Linked DNA regions of Stegostoma tigrinum. The protein of the gene in region 2 binds, or shares a complex with, the protein of the main gene of each other region. Links are inferred from orthologs where the notes say so. Each region holds a gene or a part of one and is shown on either strand. Other genes may lie near its edges.

The links.
Region 1: lamtor4 (region 2) and lamtor3 share a complex: the UniProt entries of both Homo sapiens proteins name them as parts of the ragulator complex. The link is inferred for Stegostoma tigrinum from reciprocal best matches to the Homo sapiens genes LAMTOR4 and LAMTOR3.
Region 3: lamtor4 (region 2) and lamtor1 share a complex: the UniProt entries of both Homo sapiens proteins name them as parts of the ragulator complex. The link is inferred for Stegostoma tigrinum from reciprocal best matches to the Homo sapiens genes LAMTOR4 and LAMTOR1.

What each region holds. Positions count from the first base shown.
Region 1 is NC_081354.1:4,150,158-4,159,695, reverse strand, and holds the start of lamtor3 (ragulator complex protein LAMTOR3), read right to left. Parts: upstream 4,876-9,538; 5' UTR 4,841-4,875; coding exon 4,832-4,840; intron 4,109-4,831; coding exon 4,074-4,108; intron 884-4,073; coding exon 825-883; intron 1-824. UniProt on the Homo sapiens protein: As part of the Ragulator complex it is involved in amino acid sensing and activation of mTORC1, a signaling complex promoting cell growth in response to growth factors, energy levels, and amino acids.
Region 2 is NC_081398.1:4,438,066-4,448,451, forward strand, and holds the start of lamtor4 (ragulator complex protein LAMTOR4), read right to left. Parts: upstream 4,802-10,386; 5' UTR 4,676-4,801; coding exon 4,673-4,675; intron 1-4,672. UniProt on the Homo sapiens protein: As part of the Ragulator complex it is involved in amino acid sensing and activation of mTORC1, a signaling complex promoting cell growth in response to growth factors, energy levels, and amino acids.
Region 3 is NC_081359.1:110,906,366-110,916,434, forward strand, and holds the start of lamtor1 (ragulator complex protein LAMTOR1), read left to right. Parts: upstream 1-5,845; 5' UTR 5,846-5,939; coding exon 5,940-5,981; intron 5,982-10,069. UniProt on the Homo sapiens protein: Key component of the Ragulator complex, a multiprotein complex involved in amino acid sensing and activation of mTORC1, a signaling complex promoting cell growth in response to growth factors, energy levels, and amino acids.

The DNA.
Region 1 (9,538 bases), on a different chromosome or scaffold from region 2:
AGTCGACTCTGGTAGAGATGTCGCCAGGGAGAATGCAGCAGTTGGTGATCATTAGCAATTAACTGCCATCTATTGTTTGGATTTTAAGCTATTCAGCTGGAACAGTGATCGCTTGGAGCACTGCCATGAGAAGTGAGCCAAATAGTTGCTATCTATTCTGATGAGTCAGCACAGCAGTTGGCACTGCAGCCTCACAGCGCCAGGCACCCGGGTTCAATCCCGGCCTTGGGCAACTGTCTGTGTGGAGTTTGCACATTGTCCCCATGTCTGCATGGGTTTCCTCTGGGTGCTCCAAGGTGCAGACTAGGTGGATTGGCTGTGGGAAATCCAGAGTAATAGGGATAGGGTAGTGGGTGGGATGCCCTTTGGAGGGTCAGTGCAAACTCTATAGGCCAAATTTGTTCACTATTGCTAACGGCCTGCTTCCACATCGTAGGGATTCTATGATTTCCTGCCTCCTGTCCAATAGTTCTCCCTCGAACAACACAAGTTATTTAGCTGTGAACTTTTCTGTACCTCTCACATAATGGCTATTTCAAAAGTAGCTAATTAGTTGCAAAGCACCAAGGAAATGAGACACCACATAAATGCATTTATAATAACAGTACTGCACTTGCTGTCAAAGTTGAAATCCATACCTAGTGCGCTTTAAAGTTAATGGAATGGGATTTATGAACCAGTATCGCTTAGGTTGAAATGTGGGGGATTGTATTAGATCTTCCAAACAAGGAACCAATTCAAATTAAGAGTGCAATCCTCAGGAACATGATGCAATTACTGATAATTGTGTGTAAGAGTAGGTTTACTGAGCAGCTATGACTTACCTTTAATCACAGGTACTCCATCTCTGTCAGATACCACAATGGCATGAAGGCCCTCAACACTGTAAAAAAATTATGCAGAAATTATTCACGCTGCATCTCTACACTGGCACTGGAATTCAAAATAGCGCAAGCACTGAAATTACACGGAAGTTTTCTGTTGTAAGATTGTAATGAGAACACCCACAGTACTGAGAATCCAATTTCACAATAATGTTGAGCATTAACAAAAAAAATTCTTTAAATATTTTAACATTTCCTTGGCTTCCTGAAGCTCTTTGAAAATTCAGCAAAACCCACATATCCCAGAAGCCAACATCTCCATGGAAGTTGTGGCACAGGTAGACAGGGTGGGAAAAGCAGCATTTGGCACGCTTGCCTTCATTGCCCAGACCAATGAATCCAGTAATTGGGGCATTATTTTGCGGTTGTACAGGATGTTGGAGAACTGTGTACATTTCTGGTTACCTGCTCTCGGAAGGATATTACTAAAGTGAAGATGGTTCAGAAAAGATTTACCAGGATATTATCAGGAATGGAGGGTTTGAGTTTGGAGGTTGGATAGGCTGGGATTCTTTTCACTGGAATCTAGGAGCCTGTGGGGGGGACTTTATAAAAGCTTATAAAATCACGAGAGGTATAGATAAGGTGAATAGTAAAAGCCTATTCCCCAGGGTAGGGGAGTTCAAAAGTAGGGGGCATAATTTTAAGGTGAGAAGGGAAAGATTTAAAAGGCACCCAAAAGGTAACATTTTCACACAGGGCGGTTTGTATGTGGAACAAACTGCCTGAGGAAGAGGTTTATGCAGGTACAGTTACAACATTTAAAAGATATTTGTACAAGTTGAGGGGGATTTGGGCCAAATGCAGGCAAATCTGACTAGTTTAGTTTGGGAAAAATTGGTCGGCATGGATGAGTTAGTCTGAAGGTCTGTTTCTGTGCTGTATGACTCATCTGAACACAATTATTGTTCAGATTTGTTCACTATTCATCTCTTGCAAACATCATGTAATTTCTTATTTCATGCAATACCTGTGTATAAAACATTTTTACATCCTGTCTATTAAGTCTGATTTTAGATCTAAAATGGCTGTGCAGAATTATGCCATGTATTCATGTCAATGTGATAACAATCAATTTCCATTCCTTATAAATTAATCGGTTACAAATTCACAGCCATTATGTCAAACACGCACTCACCATGGGAGATCCTAATTGTAGCGGTACAGCTAGTAAGGAAACAATATATATACTCCATACTGCAATAGCTACACAGCAATTTAAGGCTGTCATATTTAAAAGAGATTACATTTACACAGAGCTTGTCCGCATTAAAGCAGTGTCACTTTTAATACCATTCTCTGAATCCATACCTTCAACATATTTATTTTTGCTTATGCTAACAAAATTAAACAGCTCACATTTCAACAAATGGTATTTATTCATCAAACTGACGTAACAAAATAATGGCACACCACCATTAGTGGAGTCTACATTTTGGATAAATGTCACCCATGTACCATCTTTAGGAATTACACATTAAAAATGAAGTTTCTTTAGAACAATAGCAGCAAGTGCGTTAGGAACAATAAGAAAAAAACTTTTACAATGAAGTCTTGAAGACCTAAAACTAAACAAAAGTTTGAACAACTTACTGAATCAGACACTGCTTTAGAATGTCAACTGACCAGCTCAAATCTTCAAAGACGCATTGACTGTTGCCACAGAAAATAACCTGGGCTAACTTGCATCAAATAGACATGTCTTATCTACCTCGTAACCGTACTGCTACCCTTTTAGATTGCAAAGTGCAGCTTCTGTTATGAGACCAACCCTCTAAGATTCTTGATTGATATACATTAGCTGCAAAACCAAGAATTAAGGTCAAGATGGTGACAGACTAGTCTTTCAACTGAGCTTATAAAGCAAGATTACCATAAATAAAATAGGACAGAGCCAGAGAACTAATCGTGGCCTGAGTTTGAAGGCAAACTCAGCAACTGCCACACAATGCCCCATTGTGTTTGTTTAACATTGATATCTACACGGCACATTCACCACACTTGATCATTGGTTTAGAGACATCTCCAAGCTGGCTTTCCAACAATAGTAACCCATCGGCACTTGCAGATGAAACAACGTCTAGCATATTACAACTTGAAGTGGGAGATAGTGAGGAAATTGCCAAATGCCACTTAACAGACATATGTTTGGAAGCAACTATCAATACTGTCGCAGGCTTACTGCGGTGTTCCAGCAAAGCTCAACACAAACTGGAAGAACACCACCCTATGGACTCTATATCAAATTCAACAATTTTAAGGTCTGAACTGGGTGGCATGGTGGCTCAGTGGTTAGCACTGCAGCCTCACAGCGCCAGGGACCCAGGTTCGATTCCAGCCTCAGATAACTGTCTGTGCGGAGTTTGCACGTTCTCCCCGTGTCTGCGTGGGTTTCCTCTGGGTGCTCCAGTTTCCTCCCACAGTCCAAAGACGTGCAGATTAGGTGGATTGGCCATGCTAAATTGCCCGTAGTGTTCAGGGGTGTGGGGGTTATAGGGGGATGAGTTTGGGTGGGATGCTCCAAAGGGCAGTGTAGACTTGTTGGGCCGAAGGGCCTGTTTCCACACTGTAGGGAATCTAATCTAAGAAAAAGAAGCTCTCCCAGGTCCTAGCCCCATAGCCTGCCATTACACACTACCTGTTGTTAGTCACGAACAGTCCCCATTAACAGCTATTCACCCTCCCAGCCTGACTGTTATCAACTCCTTTGTCTGTTCAACTGTTCTAGTGTCTTTGAGCTCTATCCCCAACTATCAAATGCTCCTTTCCACATACGCTGTTCTGCACATAAACCGACACTTTCCTAGCTACTATCAGTTCTGACGAAGGGTCACTGGGCCCAATGCGTTAACTCTGATTTCTCTCCACAGATGCTGCCAGGCCTGCTGAGGTTTTCCAGCAACTTCTGTTTTTGTTTCAGAGTTACAGCATCTGCAGTTCTTTTGCTATTTATTGATATTGAAAAGATATTTGCTATTCAACCAGAAATAATATTACAGACTTGTAGGAAAGAGGAGATTAGAAGATAAAAGGAAGAGTGAAAAATCTGCGATTAAGAAATATACAGTGTAATAGTAGAGGAATTACTGTGTATTTTGGACATAAAGTTACTAGTCTAAACTTATCTAAAGAAGAGAGTCAGAAATTGAAACAGATTGAAGAGGAGGAAGGGTTATTTTACATTCTCACCTAGGCAACTGTTTGTAAAGATATCTCTTCAAATCCTGTAGAAAAGACACACATTAGAAGAATGCAGTAAAAATGTAGAATTATACTGCACATTTTCAACTTGAATATGAATTGAAGTTCAAACCTTTAACTGCGCCAGTAACAGTTGGCAGTTAGAACTGCCATGAAGTTATTTTTAATTAATTGTTTAAAAATGTCAACTGCATCCAAATTTAATTCAAGCCAGTCTCAACTGGTTACAGTTATTTAACACTCACCTTCACGCATGAAGTATTCAACAGCAAGATCCTATATACACAAAATAATACCTTCCTCTTTCAAAGGCTGTGCTGAAAGGAGGCTAAGAGGAAAGACTCACACCCACATTAAACTTTCACATGTTCAATAAATAAATTTCAACCTCGCATTATGGGTATCAGGCCCAATAGTCGCATGCACACTGTAGAAAACTCTGCTCAAAGCAAGCTTAAATAGACCAACAGAAGATGACAGCCTAATATTTTAATTTTTGAATAATTAGGAAATAAAACAAGAGAACGTCTTGCTCATGGGATCCACAGATGCTATTCACTACATTTTTAGATGCAAACAGAACCTTGTCTACGAAACTGGCTGCATGACTTACTGTAGTATCATATTTACTGTACTAGTCAGCTTAATTATTAGAAGGCATTTTCCATATGCTGTTCAAACTTACTACAATATAGGTAGCCTAACAGTATACGCAATTTTTTCGTAATTAAGAAAGGATTACTTACATCTGCCATCTTTCTTTAAAATGTTGCAGAGAAAACTCAATTCTGAAACAAAACCATAAAACCTGTGTTAAACGGGGCTTTATCTTTTGATACTTACTAAAATAAGCAAAGGCATGCTCAATTTAATATGCTAATTAAACATGCTATAACAGAGCATGTGGAGTGAAGGAATGTAAAATTTTTAATATCAGAAAAATCGGAATATTTAGTTCTGAACAACAGAATATATTCTGCATCCAATGGTTTGATGTTGCTGCTGAATTTCCCACATGCTTCAGCCACCATATTCACCATTCAAATCCCTGCTTCCTGAACGCATTTTACTAAAGACACATACAACTAGGGGAGCTTTCACTTCATTTTGCACTAATACACTTTTCAGTCCTAAAGTTATTCAGCTAACAGAATGACAGTTTCAAAAGTGCTCCTGAGATGCTGCTTGGCCCGCTGTGCTCATCCAGCTCCACACTTTGTTATCTCAGATTCTCCAGCATCTGCAGTTCGCATTCTCTCTGATACAATTACTCCAAATAGTTTTCTAAAATCTACAATGTGCAACTGTATGAAAGTGACCAACTCCTAGGGCAACAAAGAATTTGCCGAGCATGCAATGTCCCTGGATATTGAAGAACAATCATACAGTACAGAAGAGGCCATTTGGCCCATCATGTCTGTCCTGCTAGAAATATACTACCTACACTTTCCTGCACAAGATCCATAACCTTAAAGTGTTTGACACTTCAAACTCCCATCTAATTTCTTTTTAAAAAGGTTGAGGCTTCCCACCTTAACTATCCTCTCAGGCAGTGCATTCTAGACACCCTTTGGGTGAAAAAGCTTTTCCTCAAATCCCCTCTGAACATCGAGCCTTACATGTTAAATTTATGCATCTCCCCACCCAGTTATTAACCCTTCAAATGAGGGGAACAGCTGCTTTCTACCCACTCTGTCCATGCTCCTTATAATCTTATACACCTCTATAATGTTTCCCCCAGCATTCCCCCCCCCGCAACTTTCTCTGCTCCAAAGGAAACAACCAGAGTTCATTTCGCCTCTCTTCACAGCTGAAGTGCTCCCTTCCAGGCAACATGCTGGTGCATCTCCTTTGTACCTGTTCTAGCATAAATACATCCTACGAGGTGACCAGAACTGCAGCTATGGCCTATCAAAAATTCTGAACAGCTCCAACTTGAACACCCCCCACTGTTATAATCTATGCCACCACTGATAAGAAAACGATAACATAAACTGCTTTTGAGAAATATGTTACCAAGCCATTGAATTCTTAAAATGATAAAACCCAAACACATTTTGTAAAAGAACCTCTTTCTCTTTCTCCATCAGAATAGAAATCCCCTGATCTGAAACTAATTTCTAAATTCTTATTCCTCAAGAGTTGCCTGACCTGAGGGTAAAGACTGTATTTTGACTTTGTCTCATTCAAAAGATATACCTCCGACAGTGCAGCACTCCGTTCGCACTGCATTGGGACTGTCTGTCAATCACAAGCTCAAGACTTGAGTGGAATCGGAATTGCAGTCAAATCAACTTTTAACCTTTTCTACTTGAAGAAATTCCCCAGCTTCTCCATCATGAAGTCTATCATGCTTAACACCAAGTTTCACATTACTGATGTCGTGGTGCTGGATGTCTTAAGGCAGATGAATCCCCAGAACCTGATTCGGTGTGTACACCAGAACTCTGCTGCCATCAATAGCTGTGGGTGAGCTAACGTGGTGTCAATATTTAAGATTAGCTCCAAGGAAAAGCCAGGGAACTACTGACCGGCGAGCCTGATGTCAGTGGTAGGTGCGCTGTTGGAGGGGAATCTGAGGAACAGGATTTACGTATGTTTGGAAAGGCAAGGACCAATTTGGGATAGCCAACATGTCTGCGCGAGGGAAATCATGTCTCACTAACTTGCCTGAGCTTTTTTTTGAAGTGGCAAAGACTGATGAAGGCAGAATAACGTAGGCAACATTTGATACACCTGCCTTTATTGGTCAGTACATTGAGTATGGAGTTGGGAGGTCATGTTGCGGCTGTACAAGACATTGGTTCGACCATTTAGAATACTTTGTTCAACTCTGGTCTCCCTACTACAGGAAGGATGTTGCGAAACTTGAAAGGGTTCAGAGAGATTTAGAAGGACATAGCTGGGGTTGGAAGCTTTGAGCTCTAGGGGAAGGCTGAATAGAGTGGGATTATTTTCCCTGGACTGAGGGTGACCTTATAGAGGTTTATAAAATTGTAAGGGTATGGATAGGGTGAACAGCCAAGGTATTTTGCCCAGGTTAGGGGAGTCCAAAACTAGAGGGTATAGGTTTAAGGTGAAGTGGGAAAGATTTAAGGACAACCTAAAGGGCAAAGTTTCCGTGTAGAGGATGATGCACACATGGAATGAGCTGCCAGAGGAAGTGGTGGAGGCTGGTACCATTAAACATTTAAAAGGCATCTGGATGGATACATGAATAGGAACGGTTTAGAAGGATATGGGCCAAATGCTGGCACGTGGAACTAGATTAGTGTAGGTTATCTAGTTGGCACAGACCAGCTGAACCAAACAGGCTATTTCCATGCTGTACAACTCTATGACGTCTGTAATTCCAAAACTTTAGCACCCTTTCTAAAAGTATATTACCTAGGATTGGGACTTTTTAAAAATGTTTAGTGTTTCTACCAATTGCCTCTTTGCACGGTCAAACTTTGAATGTACTTTGGCTGCACTTGCTCTTCCACTCAATGATATATGTACTCCCTCCAAGGTGTCACTGTTCCTTCCAAAAAAATTTAACAGTTGTTGAAATTGTACTAGCTTTATATTGCCATTCTACAGTCATAGAGCTGTACAGCATGGAAACAGACTTCTGTTCAAATCACCCAGGGCAAACAGATACCCCGAATTCATCTCGTCCCAATTCCAGCATTTAGCCTATCTCTCTCTAACCCTCCCTATTCATACACCCATCCAGATGCCTTTTAAATACTGTCATTATCCCAGCCTCCACCACTTCCTCTGGCAGCTCATTCCACACACTCACAGCCTTAAGGTCCCTTTTAAATCTTTCCCTTATCACCTTAATCCTACACCCTCTAGTTTTGGACTCCTCTACCCCAGGGAAAAGACCTTGGCTATTCACCATAACAGGGCCCCGCATTGTTTTACAAACCCCTATAAAAAGGTCACTCCCAGGAAAGTAGTCCCCCTTTGTTAAATTTTAGTTGTCACTGTCTACTCATTTTATAGGTCTTTGTCTTTCTGCAGTCCATTACTGCTTCATTTTTTTGATTTCCTGACTTTGGACTTTTGACATTTCAGTACAATTTCAAAGATTGTCAAAGACATTAATACTTACCAAATACACAAACCTGAAAGCTAAAACTAAAGCTGTAGAGAATGGTGGGAAAACTGCTTTTAATTCCTTTCTTTGGGGGAATCTCCATCACTGTGGTGGTCTGACAGTGAAGATGAAGCGAAAGCAAAAGCAACACATCTCACTATCTCAAACATCTCACAGGATGGCTGTTTTTTTCTGCTGAGTGGGTCAGCAACATTTAAAAATCACTGGTGAGTGGGGAAGAGGAGAAAGTTACTACATTTGGAGATTTGTTGGAAGAACAGGATACTTGAAAGAATGGCCTCAGGATGTCTCCCAAAATTTTTCAGCACCTAACATACTTTTGAAGTCTCGCTATTGTAACGTACACAGTTAAAAGTCACAGAATCAAAACTCAGCACAAAAGTCCACTTAATATCAGAGATAATTGGAACTGCAGATGCTGGAGAATCCAAAACAACAAAGTATGGGGCAGGGTGAACACAGCAGGCCAAGCAGCATCTTAAGAGCACAAAAGCTGACGTTTCAGGCCTAGACCCTTCTTCAGAAAAAAAGGTTTATTTTTTATCCCCCTGAAGAAGGGTCTAGGCCCAAAACGTCAGCTTTTGTGCTCCTAAGATGCTGCTTGGCCTGTGTTCACCCAGCTTCACACTTTGTTATCTACAAAAGTCCATTTGCCTGGCCATACCAACTGCTTTTGTATGGAGTAATTGCATTTCCCTACATGTTCCCCACAATAGGAGACACTTATTCTCCAATTATCCAACTTTCTCTGAAAGCATGACAGAGCCTATCTCCAACATCCTCAATCAGGACATTGCTGTTTAGATTACAAGTACTTGTGGAGCAACAAAGATAATGTAACAGAGCAGACAACTTCTTGACAGCAAACTCGACAAACATCTGTACAACAACGACTGAAGTAAGTCCTCACACAGTGATGCGAATTTGATAGTGAACAATCAGGACGATACTGCTGAGACCTCTGCTGCTCCTCTTCCAAATATTATTCCCAGAGAAAGGGTTGGGTGGGTGGCTCATCCAAAAGACAGCACCTCTAACAGTTCAGCACACCCTAGGAGCAGCACTGCTCAAGAACTGAAGCCAAGGTCAGGTTGGGGGGGGGGGGGGGAGGGGGTTGGGGAGGGGGGGGTTGGGGAGGGGGGGGTTGGGGGTTGGGGAGGGGGGGGTTGGGGAGGGGGGGGGTTGGGGAGGGGGGGGTTGGGGAGGGGGGGGTTGGGGAGGGGGGGGTTGGGGAGGGGGGGGTTGGGGAGGGGGGGGGAGAGGGGAGGGGGGGGAGAGGGGAGGGGGGGGAGAGGGGAGGGGGGGGAGAGGGGAGGGGGGGGAGAGGGGAGGGGGGGGAGAGGGG
Region 2 (10,386 bases):
TGGCTGACAAAGGAAGTCAGGAAATATATCAAAGAAAAAGAGACAGCCTATAAAGTGGCCAAGAGCACTAGGAAATCAGAAGATTGGGAAGGCTGCAAAAACAGACAGAGGATAACAAGGAGAGCAATAAGGAAGGAGAGGATCAAATATGAAGGTAGGCTAGCTAGTAATATTAGAAATGATAGTCAAAGCTTCTTTCAATACATAAGAAACAAACAAGAGGCAAAAGTAGACATTGGGCCGCTCCAAATTGATGCTGGAAGGCTAGTGATGGGAGATAAGGAAATAGCTGAAGAACTTAAGTACTTTGCGTCAGAATTCACAGTGGAAGACATGAGTAGTATGCCAACAATTAGGGAGAGCCAGGGGGCAGAGTTGGGTACAGTAGGCATTACAAAAGAGAAAATGCTAGAAAAGCTAAAAGGTCTAAAAATTGATAAATCTCCTGGCCCCGATGGGCTACATCCTAGAGTTCTGAGGGAGGTGGCTGAGGAAATAGCAGAGGCTTTGGATGTGATCTTTCAAAAGTCACTGGAGTCAGGGAAAGTCCCAGATGATTGGAAAATTGCTGTTGTAACCCCCTTGTTTAAGAAAGGATCAAGGCAAAAGATGGAAAATTATAGGCCGATTAGCCTAACCTCGGTAGTTGGTAAAATTCTAGAATCCACTGCTAAGGATGAGATTTCTAAATTCCTGGAAGTGCAGTGTCAGATTAGAACAAGTCAGCATGGATTTAGTAAGGGGAGGTCGTGCCTGACAAACCTGTTAGAATTCTTTGAAGAGGTAACAAGTATGTTAGACCAGGGAAACCCACGTTATCTATCTAGACTTCCAAAAGGCCTTTGATACAGTGCCTCACGGGAGGCTGCTGAGCAAGGTGAGGGCCCGTGGTGTTCAAGGTGAGCTACCGGCTTGGATTGAGGATTGGCTGTCTGACAGAAGGCAGAGTGTTGGGGATAAAAGGCTCTTGAATGGAATGGCAACCGGTGACGAGTGTTGTCCCGCAGGGTTCAGTGTTGGGGCCGCAGCTGTTCACCTTATACATTAATGATCTGGATGAAGGGACTGGGGGCATTCTGGCGAAGTTTGCTGATGATACGAAGATAGGTGGACAGGCAGGTAGTACTGAGGAGGTGGGGAGGCTGCAGAAAGATTTAGACAGTTTAGGACAGTGGTCCAGGAAATGGCTGATGAAATTCAATGTGAGTAAATGCGAGGTTTTGCACTTTGGAAAAAAGAATACAGGCATGGACTATTTTCTAAACGGTGAGAAAATTCACAAAGCACAAGTACAAAGGGATCTGGGAGTGTTGGTCCAGGATTCTCTAAAGGTTAACTTGCAGGTAGAGTCCGTGATTAAGAAAGCGACTATAATGTTGTCGTTTATCTCAAGAGGGTTGGAATATAAAAGCAGCGATGTGCTTCTCAGGCTTTGTAAGGCTCTAGTTAGGCCCCATTTAGAATACTGTGTCCAATTTTGGGCCCCACACCTCAGGAAGGACATACTAGCCCTGGTGCGTGTCCAACAGAGATTCACACGGATGATCCCTGGAATGGTAGGTTTAACATATGATGAACGGCTAAGGATCCTGGGATTGTACTCATTAGAGTTTGGAAGGTTGAGGGGAGATCTAATAGAACTTACAAGATAATGTATGGTTTAGAAGGGGTGGACGCTAGGAAGTTGTTTCCGTTAGGCGGGGAGACTAGGACCCATGGGCACAGCCTTAAAATTAGAGGGGGTAAATTTAAAACTGAAATGAGACGACATTTCTTCAGCCAGAGTGTGGTGGGCTTGTGGAATTCATTGCCACGGAGTGCAGTGGAGGCCGGGACATTGGATGCCTTCAAGGCAGAGATCGACAAATTCTTGATCTCAGAAGGAATCAAGGGCTACGGGGAGAGTGCAGGGAAGTGGAGTTGAAATGCCCATCAGCCATGATTTAAATGGTGGAGTGGACTTGACGGGCCGAATGGTCTTACTTCCACTCCTGTGTCTTATGAGAAGAGATTGATTAGACTGGGACTGTACTTATTGGAATTTAAAAGAACGAGGGGGATCTGACAGAAACGTATAAAGTTATGAAGGGAATAGATGACATAGAAGTGGGGAGGTTGTTTCCACTGGGCAGGTGAAACTAGAACGTGTGGGGCATGGTCTCAAAATAATGGGGGAAGCAGATTTAGGACTGAGGTCAGGAGCAACTTCTTCACCCAAAGGGTTGTGAATCTGTGGAATTCCCTGCCCAGAGAAGTAGTTGAGGGTACATGGTTGAATGTTTTTAAGGCAAAAATTAAGAGTTTTAAACAGTAAAGGAATTAAGCGTTATGGTGAGCGGGCAAGTAAGTCCACGAAAAGATCAGCCATGATTTTAATCGAATGGCAGGGCAGGTTTGAGGGGCCTGACGGCCCAGTCCTGCTCCTGTTTCTTATAACTTTATTTACTGGGATAGTGTCGGGAAATCGGTTGAGGTGGAGATTCAGCCAAGATTGAGGTGAATAGCAGTGCTTGATGCCATTCAGCCCATTCTCCTGCTCCTGCTCCTATATTTCCTCACATTCTCTGTCAGATGGAGACCGAGAGAGACTGGGAAAAGGACGAGCGATGTAGGAAAGGAAAGGAAAGGAAACTTTCTTTCGTAAAAACGCAGCAAGTTGTTGGGATTGGGAACGTGGTACCTGGCAGCGTCGCGGCTTTCAAAGAGGACAGGGCAAATAATGCAGGTTCACGGGGAAAAAGACAAGGGAGGGGAGGTGTCTGGGCAAGACCCAGCACAGATGCAATGGGCTGAAAGGCCTCTTTCTATGTTGTAACTGTTTCAGAGTTCGATAAAACATCTCATGGTGCTTCATAACGCTTTATAAAGCGCTGTCTTTCACCAAGCTAACAGAGGGGATGTTAACCGAATGACCAAAAGAGTGGTCAAAGAGTTGAGGGAACATTTAGAAGTCATCGCCAATCTCACAGTCTTTCAGTCTGTAGTCTTGCAGGTTGTGCTGCTTCAGGTGTACATTCTAGTATCTCTTAGAAACGTGATGAGGCTTTCTGCCTAGACCAGCCTAACAGACAGCAGTTTACAGATTCTCACCACATAGTAGGTTAAACAAAAAAAATTCCTCATCAACTGCTGTCACATCTTTCTCCCAACCCCTGGAAATCTACACCTGCTATTGTTCTCTCTGACACAGGTAGTCCCATGTCCAAATGCTTGCTACAGCAACATAGACTGGAGCTGCAGGTTAGGACTGTGCAAAAATCCCAGATGCACCTGGCTCTGTGGGAATTGCCTAGAAAACCAGATTTTCCCAATTTGGAACCCTTTGAAAGAGCTCACTGAAGAAGTCAGAAGGTTGAGATTTACTCAAGGTTAAAAAAGTTACCCAGGATTTGATTTTAAGAACTAGGAGGATTAAAAATCTGTTCCAATTCCTGCTAACAGCTATTAAAAACTTAAACCTAACTCATCACTGACCAAACTTAGGTCTCCCCACCCCACAGCCCATGCAAAAGAGAAAACATTCTATCTGGATGCATCACAGCTCTGCCCAAGACCGCAAAAGAAAAATGACAGAGTTGTGAACACAGTCCAGTCCATCACACAAGGCAGCCTTCCATCCATTGACTCCATCCACACATTCCAATTCCTCGGGAGAGCAACCCACATAATGACCCCTCCCACTCTGGTTATACTCTCTTCCATCAGGCAGAAGATAGAACAAATTTTGTACGAACAGATTTAAAAGAACAGCTTCTTCCCCACTGTTATCAGACTTAAGACCTCTCCAATATTTGAGTTGATCTTTCTCCACACTCTCCATGTCATTTGCACCGCATGGAATCGTTGAAGAAGGGCCCCGACCCGAAACGTCAGCTTGGCCTGCAGTGTCCATCCAGCTCCACACCGTGTTATCTCAAATTCTCCAGCATCAGCAATTCCTACTATCTCCGCACTCTTACCTGTACACTAATCCCACCCCAATCCAACCTCACACCTACTCTGAGGCAGGAACTTTCAGAGATTGGCACCTGCTGAATGTATAAGTCAACAACAGAAGGCCACACACTGAACACTGCAGACAAAAAGAAAGTGGGTGGGAAGGTGAGAAAGGAGGGTGGTGGCATACCCTAAGATTTTAGGATTATAGGAAACAAGGGAGGGGGGTGGGGCAGGCCATTCGGCCCCTCGGCCCCTCAAGCCTGGATTCATGGACTGTTTGGTGCCAGAAATAGCGCCCCAACTTGTCCACAGGAATCTCCAGGGCAGACGCCATCTCAAGAATGGAAGTATCTCGCCTCTTCAGCTGCCTCCCTCCCTCGTTTGTAAACAGTTGACTATCGCCCACCCAAAGCGTGCAAGCAAATGCTGAATATCATCAGCGCGTTCAATGCAATGCAAACGATTCCATGCGGTGCAAATGACAAATTGCAATGTTTGAATTCAAGCGGTTTGGGTTATTTTTAGACCAGGGCCCGTCCTAGTTTTAAAACAGGGGGAAATGGCCAATGGCCGTGACCTGTGACCTCCCGGGCCCAGTCACCCGGGGAATGACAGGTGACAGGCGGTTAACGGCTTCCAGCCACCCCCGGGAGAAAGTGTACACCACGAATCGGGTGGATGTTGTGTGTGTTTTTTTTTAAACCACCCCGCTACCCAACAAGCTCGTACTCACCATCGAGACAGAGCCCGGGCACGTCTTCAGCCTCCGCCCGTCGGTTAAAGCCCGCGTCACATGACACTCAGATTCCCACACCCCCACCGTTCCTCGTTCGCTTATGCCGGGAGTCGACGGTTTCTGATTGGTCTGTTCCTCTGTCAGTCAACCAAATTATCATATACGACCCACCGCGACCTGGGTGATTGGACGGCTTCGCTACGCCGTTCATTTCGATTGGTCAGCATAGCCATCTATCATCACTGAGCCGGCGTCCCACCCACACCACGTACAGTCCCACATGACCTGGGTACAACCCCCAAATCTGTCCGTCACAGGCGATTGGACAGTATCGACCATCCTAACCGCTGATTGATCGACACAGCCGTCCATCATCTGTCAAATAACCCGCCTACTTCTCGTCCCCGTCCTTTGGACTGTAGGTCTCCTCTATTGGTCCATGGTTCCGGCTATCACCGTCTCCTATGATCCAACGTCACGCCGCTTCCGTATATCACATGACATGCAGCCGCCAGCGCTCTCGTCATTGATTGAACGGAACTCGTCCTCCTCCCCGCCTTCTGATCTCGCGCGCCCTTCCCACTTCGCGCATGTCCCCGCCCTCCTCGTCCCCAACCGCTAGCCGCGAGGGCGTTCCACCCCCCTTCCCACCTCCGCTATCCTCCAAGCCAATTGGTCAAAAGGCCCCTGTGGCCGTCCGTTTGGTTGGATGGGACGTCAATCAGAGCGTTGCCTTCGTCCGATTGGTGAATACCGATAGGCCCGCAACACTCTGGTTGGACCGTCCGGCCGTCAGTCTCCCTTCGGTCGGCCCCGCCCTCCTGATGTGATCGGCTTGAGTTCCCTCAGTCTCTTCCATGACATCCATTTAGATTTATTTCTCTTGATTAATTTTGTCGTCGTGAAGTAATTTGCTCCACGGCAAGGTACAGGGACAAATCAACCGAATAACCCATGGGATCACCGGTATCAGGGTGAATAGCGGAAGCCGTAAGGCGTCGAGTGGAGCGGACGACCATCCAAAACCATGTGTGGACGACACCTTTGTCGTTATTAAACGCTCTAAACTGGAGGAAAACCCATAAACAACATCCTCGCCGGCATATAATTCACCAAGGAGGAGGAGCAGAACAATAACAGAACCCCCTTCCCAGGCACAGTGGTCAACCGTCAGGCCAACGGCGAACCCCAGGCCAATGGACACAGGAAGGTCACCGGCACAGACAGGGCCCTCAAGTACAGTAGCAATCGTCCCCAAAGTGCCCACAAACAGGGCCGCATCAAAAACCCCGTTCAAAGCCAGCCGCAAGAAACACACCCTGGGGCTGCGCAAAGCCGAGGAAGAACGCCTACACAAGCCATCCGAAAAGCGTTGATACCTACTTCTTCCTACCAGTTCTGTCGTGAGGCAGAAACTCACGTCGCATTTGAAATAAAATCCTTCTGGGTGCACACTTGAAGTGGTACAAGTTACGTGGCTGCGGAGAACACAGGGAGACACGAAGGGTAGGGGGACAGGAAAGAGCGAGAACAGGGCACTGGGTGATCATAAGGAACGGCACAGCAGACTTGACGGGTCAAATAGCCTACCCTTGCTCCTATTTTCTTTCCGTCTAACATAGTTGTGATTTCTAATCATGATCTCAAGCCCAAGACTTTTCAGCAGGAGTCCCTTCGTGCAGCCTGGAAAGCATCATTTGCAGTCCCTTTGTTAACGAAACAGTGCATGCATGAATGCATTCCTAAGACACACTCTTTCCCTTAATGCAGAAAAAGACACCATCTATGTTTGGCCTGATAAGCGACAAATTACATTCATGTCCTGTAAGTTTTCAGGCTGATTCTACCAATTGAGCTCATAACCAAGAGAGATAGTAAGAATTGCTGATGCTGGAGATAACACAGTGTGGAGCTGGAGGAGCACAGCAGGCCAGGCAGCCTCAGAAGTGCAGGAAAACTGACATTTCAGATCAGGACCCCTTTCTTGAAATACCCCATTTCTGAAGAAGGGTCCCGACCCAAAATGTCAGCTTTCCTGCTCCTCTGATGCTGCCTGGCCTGCTTTGTTCCCCCAGAATCACACTAAATCATAACCAATACTGTCTTAGCCCATTCTCCACCCCACCCCAACCCCTTCCACTCATAATGTTTAAATGGCACTACTATTATTTACTGGAAAGAAACTGTGATTACCCTGCACAAGAAACTTTGCTGCATCAGGCAGATATGTGATGTGGCTGCTAGACTGGATCAGGTGTGGTAATTTGCAGGTTCAGCTACTGACCTGCCAATGCACAAGACAAAAATGGAGTGAAGTATCATTTTCTCTAGAGAGAGGTGCTTCTGTACAAGCTCTCTTATCAGCACCAGCAGCCTGCTGATTAACACTCATTAAGCATCGACATCCTCCACCACTGCAATGTGTGTATACCATCTACAATATGCACTTCAGGCAACTCGCCAAAACTCAGCAGTAGCTAGAATACTTTCATGACTTGGGCTGTGACATTTCAAAAAGACAGGCACAAACAAGAGTTTTACTGAGCAGACTGATTCCATATGGCCCATCATCTGTGTGCCAACCAAGATGGATCACCCAGCCTAATTTCTCTTACCAGCCCTGTCAGCATAGCTGTGTAGCGTATAGCGCTTCAAGTGCGCATCCAAAAAGATTTTATTTTAAATGCAAAGTGAATTTATGCCTCACTACAGAACTTTTAGATGGAGAGTTCCATATCCACACTTTTCTGGGTAAATATCTTCTCAACTCTTCTCCAATCTAACAAATTGCTACAGCTCTGGATTCTTGACAGGTCTGCTAAGGGAAGTAGGCCCTTTTTTTATTATGTCTCTTTCCTTTTATCTCCCAATCTCCACTGTTCTCCCCTCTTTGGTTGCCTTGGGGTCACATCCTTCTGCAAGAGGCAGGGCCCTGTGTAGCACCAGGCCCATGACCCATTCCAGCTCGGATATGCCGCATGAGCAGTGGCAGAAGATGTGCCCAGAACCAGGACCTCAGCAGCACTCAGATATGGTGGAGAAGCCCATTACCAAGACCCCAGCCAATGTTAAAGTAGCAGGAACTGTAGGAGCAGCTGAGAAAGAGAAAGAAGAAGGAGAGCCAAATGAGAAGATGAACAGCTGAACCTAAAAATACCAAAGCTATTGCAGTAAAAGCATGCAATGCAAACAGATCCGAGATGGCACTGCAGAGTGGTGACATGTTGTGGATAACTTGCAAAACAACACTTTCCACTGTAGGTAAGTGTGACAATATTAAATAAATCTAAATAATGTTATGCACCTCAATTAAATCAACTCTCAGCCTCTTCTGTCCAAAGAAAACAAGTGCATAAAAGCAAGGATATGGTTAAAACTATCCAGCAATTTAACTGTAGATATCAATCAGTGAGTTGTTTTTATGTTCATATTTAATGTATCAACTTTAACACAGTATGTAATGCTTATATATTATTTCTATATACGTAAGAATACTTCTTGTGTTCATCCAGTCTTTCCTCAAATAAATTCTTCATTTCTGGCAGCATATTCGTAACTCTTCTCTGTACCTCACCCTCAGTAATCAGACTGCCACCACTTTGAGGGCAATTATGGGTGGACATGCTTGTCTACAACATCCCAACAATTGTAGTTAAATTGTAGCTGTGAGTTATTTTTGTAACAGAAGGAATGCGTTAAGCAAACAGGACAGAAAGAGGAGCTAGAGAGATAGTCGGAACTGCAGATGCTGGAGAATCTGAGATAACAAGGTGTAGAGCTGGATGAACACAGCAGGCCAAGCAGCATCAGAGGAGCAGGAAGGCTGACGTTTCAGGCCTAGACCCTTCTTCAGAAAAGCATTTCTGAAGAAGGGTCGAGGCCCGAAATGTCAGCCTTCCTGCTCCTCTGATGCTGCTTGGCCTGCTGTGTTCATCCAGCTCTACACCTTGTTGTCTCAGAAAAAGGAGCTAATCAGGACACAAATTAACGCATAACAAACTTTATTGAATATGTTCACGTGTTGTAGGATAATACAATAAGAGTTCAGAAATATGACAATTGATTCTTTCCACTTACTGCAATCTATCCTAATTTAATCATTGTTTCTAGTCTGGCTACTTCAACTACAATCTAAGAAATATATTTAAAGCAAACTGTAGCCACTCAGACAACATTGACCAGTACATTATCCCTCCCTAGATTGGCAACTGTCTCTTTTGTAGGAGACTAGACAGTTCAGTTCACTGGCATTCTTCATGCAACCTTGAAATTCTTTGCTTCGTGATTTTGTAATTCATTAACTCATTTAATCCTGAGTAACGATGAGAATCCTCATGTAAAACTGGAGTTAATACTTTTAATGGTATTAAAAGTGGACGTGTGACCATCCTGTGTTTCTAACTATTTCAGTTCTTTTACCCTAAACATATTGTATGTTTTCTCAATTTCTGCTCTTACAGTTTCCTTTTTTATATTTTTCCAGTCTACAGGAATGTCAGCTTTTTTGGCCTTGTAAGCTTCTGAAAACTCTGTATTAAAAGTAGACAGGACGTATTTCCAGTAGGCTGATGCTTGGATACTTGTGTCAGGTGGAATATTCCAGGAAGCAAAATAATCATTTACGCTGCGGTAGCCTTTGTATGGATGGAACTCATATTGTGTTGCTGCACAGCGGAATGAAGCATCGGATGCTATTGCAGAATTACACACTGTCGCCACCAGCTTTTTGCTGGTAATATGGCGAAACCTATTTAGTCCCTCAGGCCGATGTGTTGCAGCAAAATGCTCCTTGTGTCCCGAGCCTCCTTGTTCACAAGACACTCCGCAGAACCGGCACATCTTCCCGCAGCCAAGAACTTGACGGAAGATCTCTTCATCCAGCTGCACTGGCAGACGTGGCAGAATTTCTTCGATGTTGCAATTCTTGTGAAAGTCTGATATGAGTTTCTGCTCGACATCATCCAGGGCTGCAGTGACATCAGCTGCAAACTCGCTGGCTGTGTTAGCATTCTGAAAGAGTACAATTTGCAAATTCCCCTTGTTAATCACAAAATCATTCTTCAAAATATCACAAAATTCTGTTAAAAATTCTGATACGCTCTCCTTCACTGTCACAATTGATTCTTTCCACTTACTGCTTGTTTTATGGCATCTTTTATCTTTTGTATAAGTGCTCGGATTATTTTTGCGACGATCTCCATAATTTTAGTTGCTTCTCTGTAATTCTTTATTATTCTTTTCCTGATCCACTGTCTTGCAAAATCCTCATAGTCTTCAATGTATTATGTGTAATTTTCCACACAGTGCTCTTCCAGCAAGTCCAGTAGAATCACAGCTTGGAGATAAGCTCTGCTGCTCATTTCGTGGTTTGTGCAGCTGGCTTTTACGCCCTCAACAATCTCCACACCAAGCTTTTTGTCAATGGCATTGTGAAGATCTGGCAGAAGGCAGTCGCTCCACAGAGCTGGAGCCCTTTTCTGACTCTGATCTTTCTCGTTGTAAATATCTTTAAAAGTGGAATAGTAGGCAATCTTCATTTCTTCCAGACGAGCCAGTGGATCATTCTCTCTGAAGAAATCTTGGTGCATCTTTTGGAAAATTGGCAGAACACGACCACACATATGCAACTTTAGATCCACCTCAAAGGTATTAATCATGCGAAAGTTGCCATATTTCCCAAGGAGTAAATTATCATCAGTTTGTCTCAGCAA
Region 3 (10,069 bases), on a different chromosome or scaffold from region 2:
AGAGGCGGAGGAATTGGGAATAGGGGATGGAATTTTTGCAGGATGTTGGGTGGGAGGAGGTGTATTCTAGGTAGCTGTGGGAGTCGGTGGGCTTGAAACGGACATCAGTTACAAGCTGGTTGCCTGAGATGGAGACTGAGAGGTCCAGGAAGGTGAGGGATGTGCTGGAGATGGCCCAGGTGAACTGAAGGTTGGGGTGGAAGGTGTTGGTGAAGTGGATGAACTGTTCGAGCTCCTCTGGGGAGCAAGAGGCGGCGCCGATACAGTCATCAATGTACCGGAGGAAGAGGTTGGGTTTGGGGCCTGTGTAGGTGCGGAAGAGGGACTGTTCCACGTAACCTACAAAGAGGCAGGCATAGCTGGGGCCCATGCGGGTGCCCATGGCCACCCCCTTAGTCTGTAGGAAGTGGGAGGAGTCAATAGAGAAGTTGTTTCCCTGGCCCCCAACACCTCATCTTCACCATGGACGTCCAGTCCCTGTACACCTGCATTCCGCATGGAGATGGCCTCAAGGCCATCCGCTTCTTCCTGTCCCACAGGCCCGACCAGTCCCCCTCCACCGACACCCTCATCCGCCTAGCCGAACTCGTCCTCACCCTCAACCACTTCTCTTTTGACTCCTCCCACTTCCTACAGACTAAGGGGGTGGCCATGGGCACCCGCATGGGCCCCAGCTATGCCTGCCTCTTTGTAGGTTACGTGGAACAGTCCCTCTTCCGCACCTACACAGGCCCCAAACCCAACCTCTTCCTCCGGTACATTGATGACTGTATCGGCGCCGCCTCTTGCTCCCCAGAGGAGCTCGAACAGTTCATCCACTTCACCAACACCTTCCACCACAACCTTCAGTTCACCTGGGCCATCTCCAGCACATCCCTCACCTTCCTGGACCTCTCAGTCTCCATCTCAGGCAACCAGCTTGTAACTGATGTCCATTTCAAGCCCACCGACTCCCACAGCAACCTAGAATACACCTCCTCCCACCCACCCTCCTGCAAAAATTCCATGCCCTATTCCCAATTCCTCCGCCTCCGCCGCATCTGCTCCCACGACAAGACATTCCACTCCCGTACATCCCAGATGTCCAAGTTCTTCAAGGACCGCAACTTTCCCCCCACAGTGATCGAGAACGCCCTCGACCGCGTCTCCCACATTTCCCGCAACACGTCCCTCACACCCCGCCCCCGCCACAACCGCCCAAAGAGGATCCCCCTCGTTCTCACACACCACCCCACCAACCTCTGGATACAACGCATCATCCTCCGACACTTCCGCCATCTACAATCTGACCCCACCACCCAAGACATTTTTCCATCCCCACCCCTGTCTGCTTTCCGGAGAGACCACTCTCTCCGTGACTCCCTTGTTCGCTCCACACTGCCCTCCAACCCCACCACACCCGGCACCTTCCCCTGCAACCGCAGGAAATGCTCCACTTGCCCCCACACCTCCCCCCTCCGCCTATCCCAGGCCCCAAGATGATATTCCACATTAAGCAGAGGTTCACCTGCACACCTGCCAATGTGGTATACTGCATCCACTGTACCCAGTGTGGCTTCCTCTACATTGGGGAAACCAAGCGGAGGCTTGGAGACCGCTTTGCAGAACACCTCCGCTCAGTTCGCAACAAACTACTGCACCTCCCAGTCGCAAACCATTTCCACTCCCCCTCCCATTCTTTAGATGACATGTCCATCATGGGCCTCCTGCAGTGCCACAATGATGCCACCCGAAGGTTGCAGGAACAGCAACTCATATTCCGCCTGGGAACCCTGCAGCCTAATGGTATCAATGTGGACTTCACCAGTTTCAAAATCTCCCCTTCCCCCACTGCATCCCTAAACCAGCCCAGTTCGTCCCCTCCCCCCACTGCACCACACAACCAGCCCAGCTCTTCCCCTCCACCCACTGCATCCCAAAACCAGTCCAACCTGTCTCTGCCTCCCTAACCTGTTCTTCCTCTCACCCATCCCTTCCTCCCACCCCAAGCCGCACCCCCATCTACCTACTAACCTCATCCCATCTCCTTGACCTGTCCGTCTTCCCTGGACTGACCTATCCCCTCCCTACCTCCCCACCTACACTCTCTCCACCTATCTTCTTTTCTCTCCATCTTCGGTCCGCCTCCCCCTCTCTCCCTATTTATTCTAGAACCCTCACCCCATCCCCCCCTCTCTGATGAAGGCTCTAGGCCCGAAACATCAGCCTTCCTGCTCCTCTGATGCTGCTTGGCCTGCTGTATTCATCCAGCTCTACGCCTTGTTATCTCAGATTCTCCAGTATCTGCAGTTCCTACTCTCTCTAATATGGATGTGTTGTCCCAGTCAGATTTGTCTTCTTCTTTGTCTGTGAAGTATGAGACAAGTGAGAATAGGTCGTGTCTCTTGGTGGCTAGTTGGTGTTCATATCTCCTTAATATCAGTTTTCTTCCAGTTTAGCCAATGTAATGCTTTTCACAGTCATGGTTTTTTGTATGTTATGTTAGTTTTATTGGTTGTCAGTACGGGGTCCTTTATGTTCGTCAGTAGCTGTCGCAGGGTGGTTGCTGGTTTGTGAGTTACCCTGGTACCTAGGGGTCTGAGTCCACATCATTCAGAACCCTCAAAGATTTCACCCGAGGTCAGATGCAGGTTAAATGCAGCAACAAGAAACAATGTTAAAAACATTCATCAGATGAGAGAAAGAGAAAATGAGAGTTGATATTTCTTCTCTCTGAGGGTAGTGAATTTGTGGAATACTTTCTTGCAGAGGGTTGTTGAGGCTGGGTCATTCAGTACGTTCAAGGCTGAGATAGACAGATTTTTAATCAGTAAGAGATTTGAGGGTTATGGGGAAGCGCGAGAATGTGGATTTGAGGATTATCAGATCAGCCACAATCTCAGTGAATGGTACAGCAAATCCAATGGACTGAATGGCCTATTTCTGCTCCTACATCTTATGATCTTATCATAAATCATAGAATCCCTTCAGTGTGGAAACAGGAAATGCTGTGGACTGACCAACAACACTTACATCCTGTGTAGAGCAAAGAAAAATTCTATCTGTCACTTATAGAACATAGAACATAGAAAAGTACAGCACAGTACAGGCTCTTCGGCCCACCATGTTGTGCCATGGAATAATCCTAATCCCAAAATAAAATAACCTAACCTACATTCCCCTCAATTCACTGCTGTCCATGTGCATGTCCAGCAGTCGCTTAAATGTCACTAATGACTCTGCTTCCACGACTACCACTGGTAAACTATTCCATGCGCTCACAACTCTCTGGGTGAAGAACCTCCCTCTGACGTCTCCTCTACACCTTCCTCCTAATACCTTAAAACTATGACCCCTCGTGGCAGTCAATCCTGCTCTGTGCAAAAGTCTCTGGCTACCGAATCTATCTATGCCTCTCATTACCTTGTACACCTGCCCAATCTGCAAACCTCTCTCTCCTCCTCATCTCTGTCATAAATGTGTGACCTTTGGCAGTATAGACTTGAAGAGCCGAAGGTCCTGTACTGTCTGATTCTATAACTCCTTAAACTGACATGCACCCACCACTTAATCATGTTGCTGGAGCCACACATAGGCCAAACTGGGAAAGGCAGACCACATCTTGAAAGGACATTCGTGAACCAACTGGAATTTTATGACCATTGATAATAGTTCCATGAACACCATCACTAGTCAAGATTCCAGATTTATTAATTGTTCATTTAATGGTGCAGGCACGATGGGCTGAATGGCCTCCTTCCATGCCAATAACAATTCTGTGATCCTGTGTCTGCCTGAGTCGAGACGTAGCCTCATCACTGTCTTGGCAACATTGATAGATTATGAAGTTTTCAATCAACAAATTAATTTTAAACAGCAATTAAAAAAAGTGATACTTGAACAGGTGAGTTTTGAGAAGATTTGTAGCTCAGGTTGAGTTTCTGGATATGAGTTTGCTCGCTGAGCTGGAAGGTTCGTTTTCAGACGTTTCGTCACCATTCTAGGTAACATCATCGGTGAGCCTCCGACGAAGCCTTTGTCGGAGGCTCACTGATGATGTTACCTAGAATGGTGACGAAACGTCTGAAAACTAACATTCCAGCTCAGCGAGCAAACTCACATCCAGAACTTGAACAGGCCTTTGGAGACCACCACAAGCTGTCATTTACAACAACTTGTTATTTTGACTGTCCACCCAAGAAGCAACTGCAAGAAATGAGTTCTGGAACCAAGAGCTTATGCTGCAGCTGTACAAAACTCTGGTGCGGCTGTACTTGGAATATTGTGTACAGTTCTGGTCACCGCATTATAGGAAGGATGTGGAAGCTTTGGAAAGGGTGCAGAGGAGATTTACTAGGATGTTGCCTGGTATGGAGGGAAGGTCTTACGAGGAAAGGCTGAGGGACTTGAGGCTGTTTTCATTAGAGAGAAGAAGGTTGAGAGGTGACTTAATTGAGACATATAAAATAATCAGAGGGTTAGATAGGGTGGATAGGGAGAGCCTTTTTCCTTGGATGGTGATGGCGAGCACGAGGGGGCATAGCTTTAAATTGAGGGGTGAAAGATATAGGACAGATGTCAGAGGTAGTTTTTTTACTCAGAGAGTAGTAAGGGAATGGAACGCTTTGCCTGCAATGGTAGTAGATTCACCAACTTTAGGTACATTTAAGTCGTCACTGGACAAGCATATGGACGTACATGGAATAGTGTAGGTTAGATGGGCTTCAGATCAGTATGACAGGTCGGCACAACATTGAGGGCCGAAGGGCCTGTACTGTGCAGTAATGTTCTACGTAACTTTACAAAATAAGAGCGCATGGTATTGGGAATGACATATTCTCATGGATAGAGGATCAGTTAATGAACAGGAAAAAAAGATGGCTGGATTTTCACTATAATGGGATCTTGGCATTTTTCCACATGGGCATTTTGCAAAGCTAACAATCCTGAGAAATCAGTAACTGTCCATGTCCCTGTGTGAGTTAGCGAACAGTGTCTAAAGCACAAAGTGCTGAGATGTGACCAAGCAGGAGCAGGTCTGAATTTTATGAGTTTGTTTGGATAGCTAGAGAACCCTCTTACAGTCGAATGATGTTGATTGTTGGGGAAAACCAATCTGGTTCCCTCATGTCCTTTAGGGAAGGAAACTGCCATCCTCACCTAGTCTGGCTAACATGTGACTCCAAACCCACAGCAACGTGGCTGATTCTTGACTGTCCTCATGAGGGGAGTGGATAAAAAAAAGGATCAACTGATGAAAAACTGCTGGAACTGTCTACAACGAAGAGAAGGTTGAGAGATTTGATCAAGATCTTCAGATCACATAGAATCCAGGGAGAACTAGCCATTTGGAAACAAAATTGTCCTGAAGGTAAGTGACAGAGGGTAGTGGTGGAGGGCCGCTTTTCGCACTGAAGCCTTGTGTAACCCCTATGCCTCTGTCCAAGTCTTTTTGATCTGTATGTACATCCTTGCTTACCATGATCTGCCTGTACCACTGGTAAACAAAGCTTTTCACTGTAATTCAGCACACGTAACAAACAATCAATCAGCATCCAGAGGTTTTCACATGGGAATGGGATCATTATCTGAACAGGAAGAAGCTGCAGGAATCACTCATGGGGAGAGATAGCACAGACACAATGGGCCGAATAGGCAACTAGGCTTGAACTCTGACCCCAACTGAGGATCAATTTACGAGAAAATGGCACAGGATGATTGACAGACCAACCGGATCTGATGTCATAGAGGGGCGGTTCCCATTATGATCGACAGACCAAAACGGTTGAGAATTGAGGGGCTAGCGATGATTGACAGTCTGCGGCGGAGATGACGTCGGCAGTTGGGCGCTCGTCCGGGTGATTGACAGTTCGGGTCGGATGTGACGCAATGGTTGCTAGGCCCGATCATGTGATGGTGTAAATAGGGAGCCCGCGGCCTGCGCTCCTCTGGTTCCCACCATGGGCTGTTGTTATAGCAGTGAGGGCGACAGCAGTGAACAGGTGAGGATCACCCTTCAGTATAATCCCCGCGTCCGCCTTCTCCTTAAAACACCCGGCAAAATCACCTGGAAACTCATTGAGTCCCTTCAGGGCTGGTGTGGTGCAGCCTGACCCCTCCTTTTGGCCTGGGGGGTGTGGTGGTGTGTGGGGTTAATCCCCCCTCCCCCTGCATTATCCTGGATTGGAGGGTTGGTGTGCGGGGTTAACCCCCCCGCCACCCCTTTGCCATTATCCTGGATTGGAGGGTTGGTGTGCGGGGTTAACCCCCCCGCCACCCCTTTGCCATTATCCTGGATTGGAGGGGTTGGTGTGTGGGGTTAACCACACACCAGTTAAAATGATTTTAACTCCCCCTCCCATTCTCTTGACGACATGCCCATCATCGGCCTCCTGCAGTGCCACAATGATGCTACCCGAAGGTTGCAGGAACAGCAACTCATATTCCGCTTGGGAACCCTGCAGCCCAATGGTATCAATGTGGACTTCACCAGCTTCAAAATATCCCCTCCCCCCACCGCATCCCAAAACCAGCCCAGTTATTCCGCTCCCCCCCCAGTGCATCCCAAAGCCAGCCCAGCTTGTCCCCGCCTCTCTAACCTGTTCTTCCTCTCACCTATCCCTCCCACCTCAAGCCGCACCTCCATTTTGTACTTACTAACCTCATCCCGCCTCCTTGACTTGTCTGTATTCCCTGGACTGACCTATCCCTTCCTTACTTCCCCACCTATACTCTCCTCTCCACCTATCTTCTTTTCTCCATCTTCGGTCTGCCTCCCCCTCTCTCCCTATTTATTCCAGTTCCGTCTCCCCATCCCCCTCTCTGAAGAAGGGTCTAGGCCTGAAACGTCAGCTTTTGTGCTCCTGAGATGCTGCTTGGCCTGCTGTGTTCATCCAGCTCCACACTTTGTAATCTTGGATTCTCCAGCATCTGTAGTTCCCATTCCCATTATCTCAAATCAGCTCATTGTTGCCTTGCAGAGCTGATGTCACTCACTTATTATACTCTAATTCTGCTGAACAAGAGTTTCAAATTCTTGTCTTGGACATCTACAGTTCCCAAAACCAGGATGTGGTGTGATTTACTTGTTTCAGTGAAACTAAAGAAAGATTGCCTAATGCTAGAATATATTGTTCGGCCAGGTGGTGATTGGCTAGCACAAACAGGATGGGCCGGATGGCCTTTTTCTGTCCTGTCAACTGTCTATGACTAAGCAGTTTTTGTATTTCTGTGACACAAATGAAGCATTTCCTCCAAGGTAGTCACCATTGCAAGATAAGAAATGAGACCAGATTTGTGTATGCTAAGATTCCTCACGAGAATTTCATTATGGCCAGAAAACTTTTTTTATTGTGCTTGGTCCTTGGTTTAACATTTCACCTAAAAGGTGGTGTTACTGAATGCATCACTCTCTGATTACTGCTCTTGGGTCATTGACTGATTTTATATTCAATGATGTGGAGAGGGACTGGAAGCACATTCTTCTGACAGAAGGTAGGACACTATCCATGGAGTCATAACTGGCCTTGTTGAGAAACCCAACAAAAAGTAGGAATTCCACCAAGTTCGGAACAGGCTTGAAGTGGTGAAGCCCGAGGAAAACTTATTCATATCCTTGTTCATAATTTACTGATCTCAAGCAGGTACAGCAAGTAATTATGACAATAATAGTATGTTCACCTTTTATAACAAGATTATTAGATTACAGGAGTCAAGATGCCTGCCTTGCTTTAATTGTATAGAGCTATGATGAGACTTTACCTTAACTGTTCATGTACAGTTTTTCTCTCCTTATTGAAGGAAGGATGCACACAGGGGGAGTGCAGTGGAGAGTCACAGGATAGATTGCTAAGATGTTGAGATTGTCCTGTGAGGAGAGTTTGAGGAGACTGAGTATGCTGTGGAGTTTAGAAGAATGAAAGGTGAAACTTAGAAAATCCTTTTTATAAGGATGAACAGAATAGATGTAAAAAAAGTTTCTCTCTACTCTAGGGTGTAATCCAGGGGAAAGTATCTCCGACTAAGGGACAGGTCACTGAGAATGGAGGGATGGGCAATGAATGCTGTCCCAACGAACAATGCCCACAGAATAAGTGAATAAAATGATTAAATGCACAAATTGATAGATTTCTAAATATTAAAGATGTTGCAGATGATATGTAATTTGCAGGAAAATGGTGTTGGTGTAGTGAATCAGCCATGATCTCGACAAATAATGGAGCAAACTTTAAAAGCTTCATGACCAATCTACCTATTTTATCTATTCTTAATCATTAGAAAGGTTATAGTACAGAGTCCATTCGGTCATTTGTGTCTATACCTTCTCCCTGGAAGAAGATATTAGTCTGTGGGACTCCACCATCTTTTCCCCATAGCACTGTAAACCTTGCCCCTTCAAGTGCACATCTGGTCGTCCTATGAAAAACGTGATTGAATCTGTCTCCACTATACTGTGTCTCCCAGATCCTAACCACTTCTTGTGTAAGAAAGCTTTCTTTCATACACATTAGGAGCTGATTGTGGGCAACTTGGCTTCTTGAAGCTATTTCACTGTTTGCTTTCTCATAAATTCCATCATTATCCTCCACAATTTGGTGTTTGCAAGGTTTGAATCATACGCAGTATTTGAAATTTTGCTCAAGGCAGCGAAGTCAACAACTCTAAATGTGTCAAAAGCAGTAGTTGGGGACTGACCCTGGGAATTCCCACCATGAGCCACTTTCCAAGACACAATAGAACTGTTCACCGTTAAACCCTCTTTGCTGTCACTCAGCTGAACTTGTATCTATTTTTCTGTGATAACATGTGGTGGTAGAGGAATACAGCATCACAGGAGCAGGAAAGCTGACGTTTTGGGTTGAGACCCTTCTTCCGAAATGGCAGAGAGGGAAGCGAGCTGGGAAGTAAATAGAGAGGAAGGGTTGGAGTGAGGTAGGGGAAGGTAGGTGGGCTGGTGATAGGTGAGTGCAGGTAGGCAGTGGTGGAGATTGGTCAGTGAGCTGGGAGGAGGAGCAGATAGGTGGCAGAGAAGACGAAGGTTGTGTCAGGTCAAGGAGGCAGGGATGTGAGGGAGGGTTGGTAATGGGATGCGGCCGGAGTGTGGGGAAATTTTAAACTGGTAAAAGCCATGTTTAGGCCATTGGGCTATGGGCTGCTGAGGTGGAATGAGGTGCTGCTCCTCCAGGTTGTGGGTGGTGTCATTGTGACGCTGGAGGAAGCCCAGGATGGACATGTTGTCCAGGGGGTGGGAGGGGGTGTTTGTGGTTCGAGACTGGAATGTGTTGTCGTTTCTCGCGAACAGAGCGCAGGTGCTGTACAAAGTGGTCTCTGAGCCTCTGCTTGGTCTCACCAATGTAGAGGAGGCCACATACCGTCTTCCATTTATCTGTGGCCTGTTTTATTCCATGGGCATCAACTTTGCTGACCAGCCTGTGTTTTGTAGCACTCATTGAAATTCCTTTTTGAAGTCTGTGTAGCTGTTGACCCTGTTTGTCACCTCTTTAAAACCTCAAATAAGTCAATGCACAATAAAATCAAAATTGCTGGAAATGCTCATTGGGGCTGGCAGCATCTCTGGAGGAAGAGTTGATGTTTTATCAGAACAAAACTCAATTTGCCTTTGACAAATTCTGCCAGCATTCCTAATTTATCCACAGTGTCCTGAATGTGTTAATTTTGTGCTGGATTATTGTTTCTCATAGCTTTCCCACCTCCAGTGTTAAGATAACTGACCAGTAATTGCAGGACTTCCCTTTAAGTCCCTTCTTGAGCAAGGGTGTAGCATTTACAGTTCCTCAGTCCTTTGGCAACACCCCTGTATCTAGAGGGGTGGAAGATTATTGCAACTGTCTGCAATTTCCTTTATTTCTCTCCTTGATTGTGGACATACCTCGTCCTGGTAAATGACTTCTAATACTTCCTCTTCATCAATTTTAGCTTGTTTTGTCACAACTGTCTTCTCTTTTTTTCATTCTTACTCTCTGGCAGCATTTATTTTCCTTTGTAAACAATGACAAGTGACCTACCTATGCCCTTGAACTTCATCACTAAATTTTTGGTCACCCTTTCAGTCTTCATGAGCCTGTCCCTC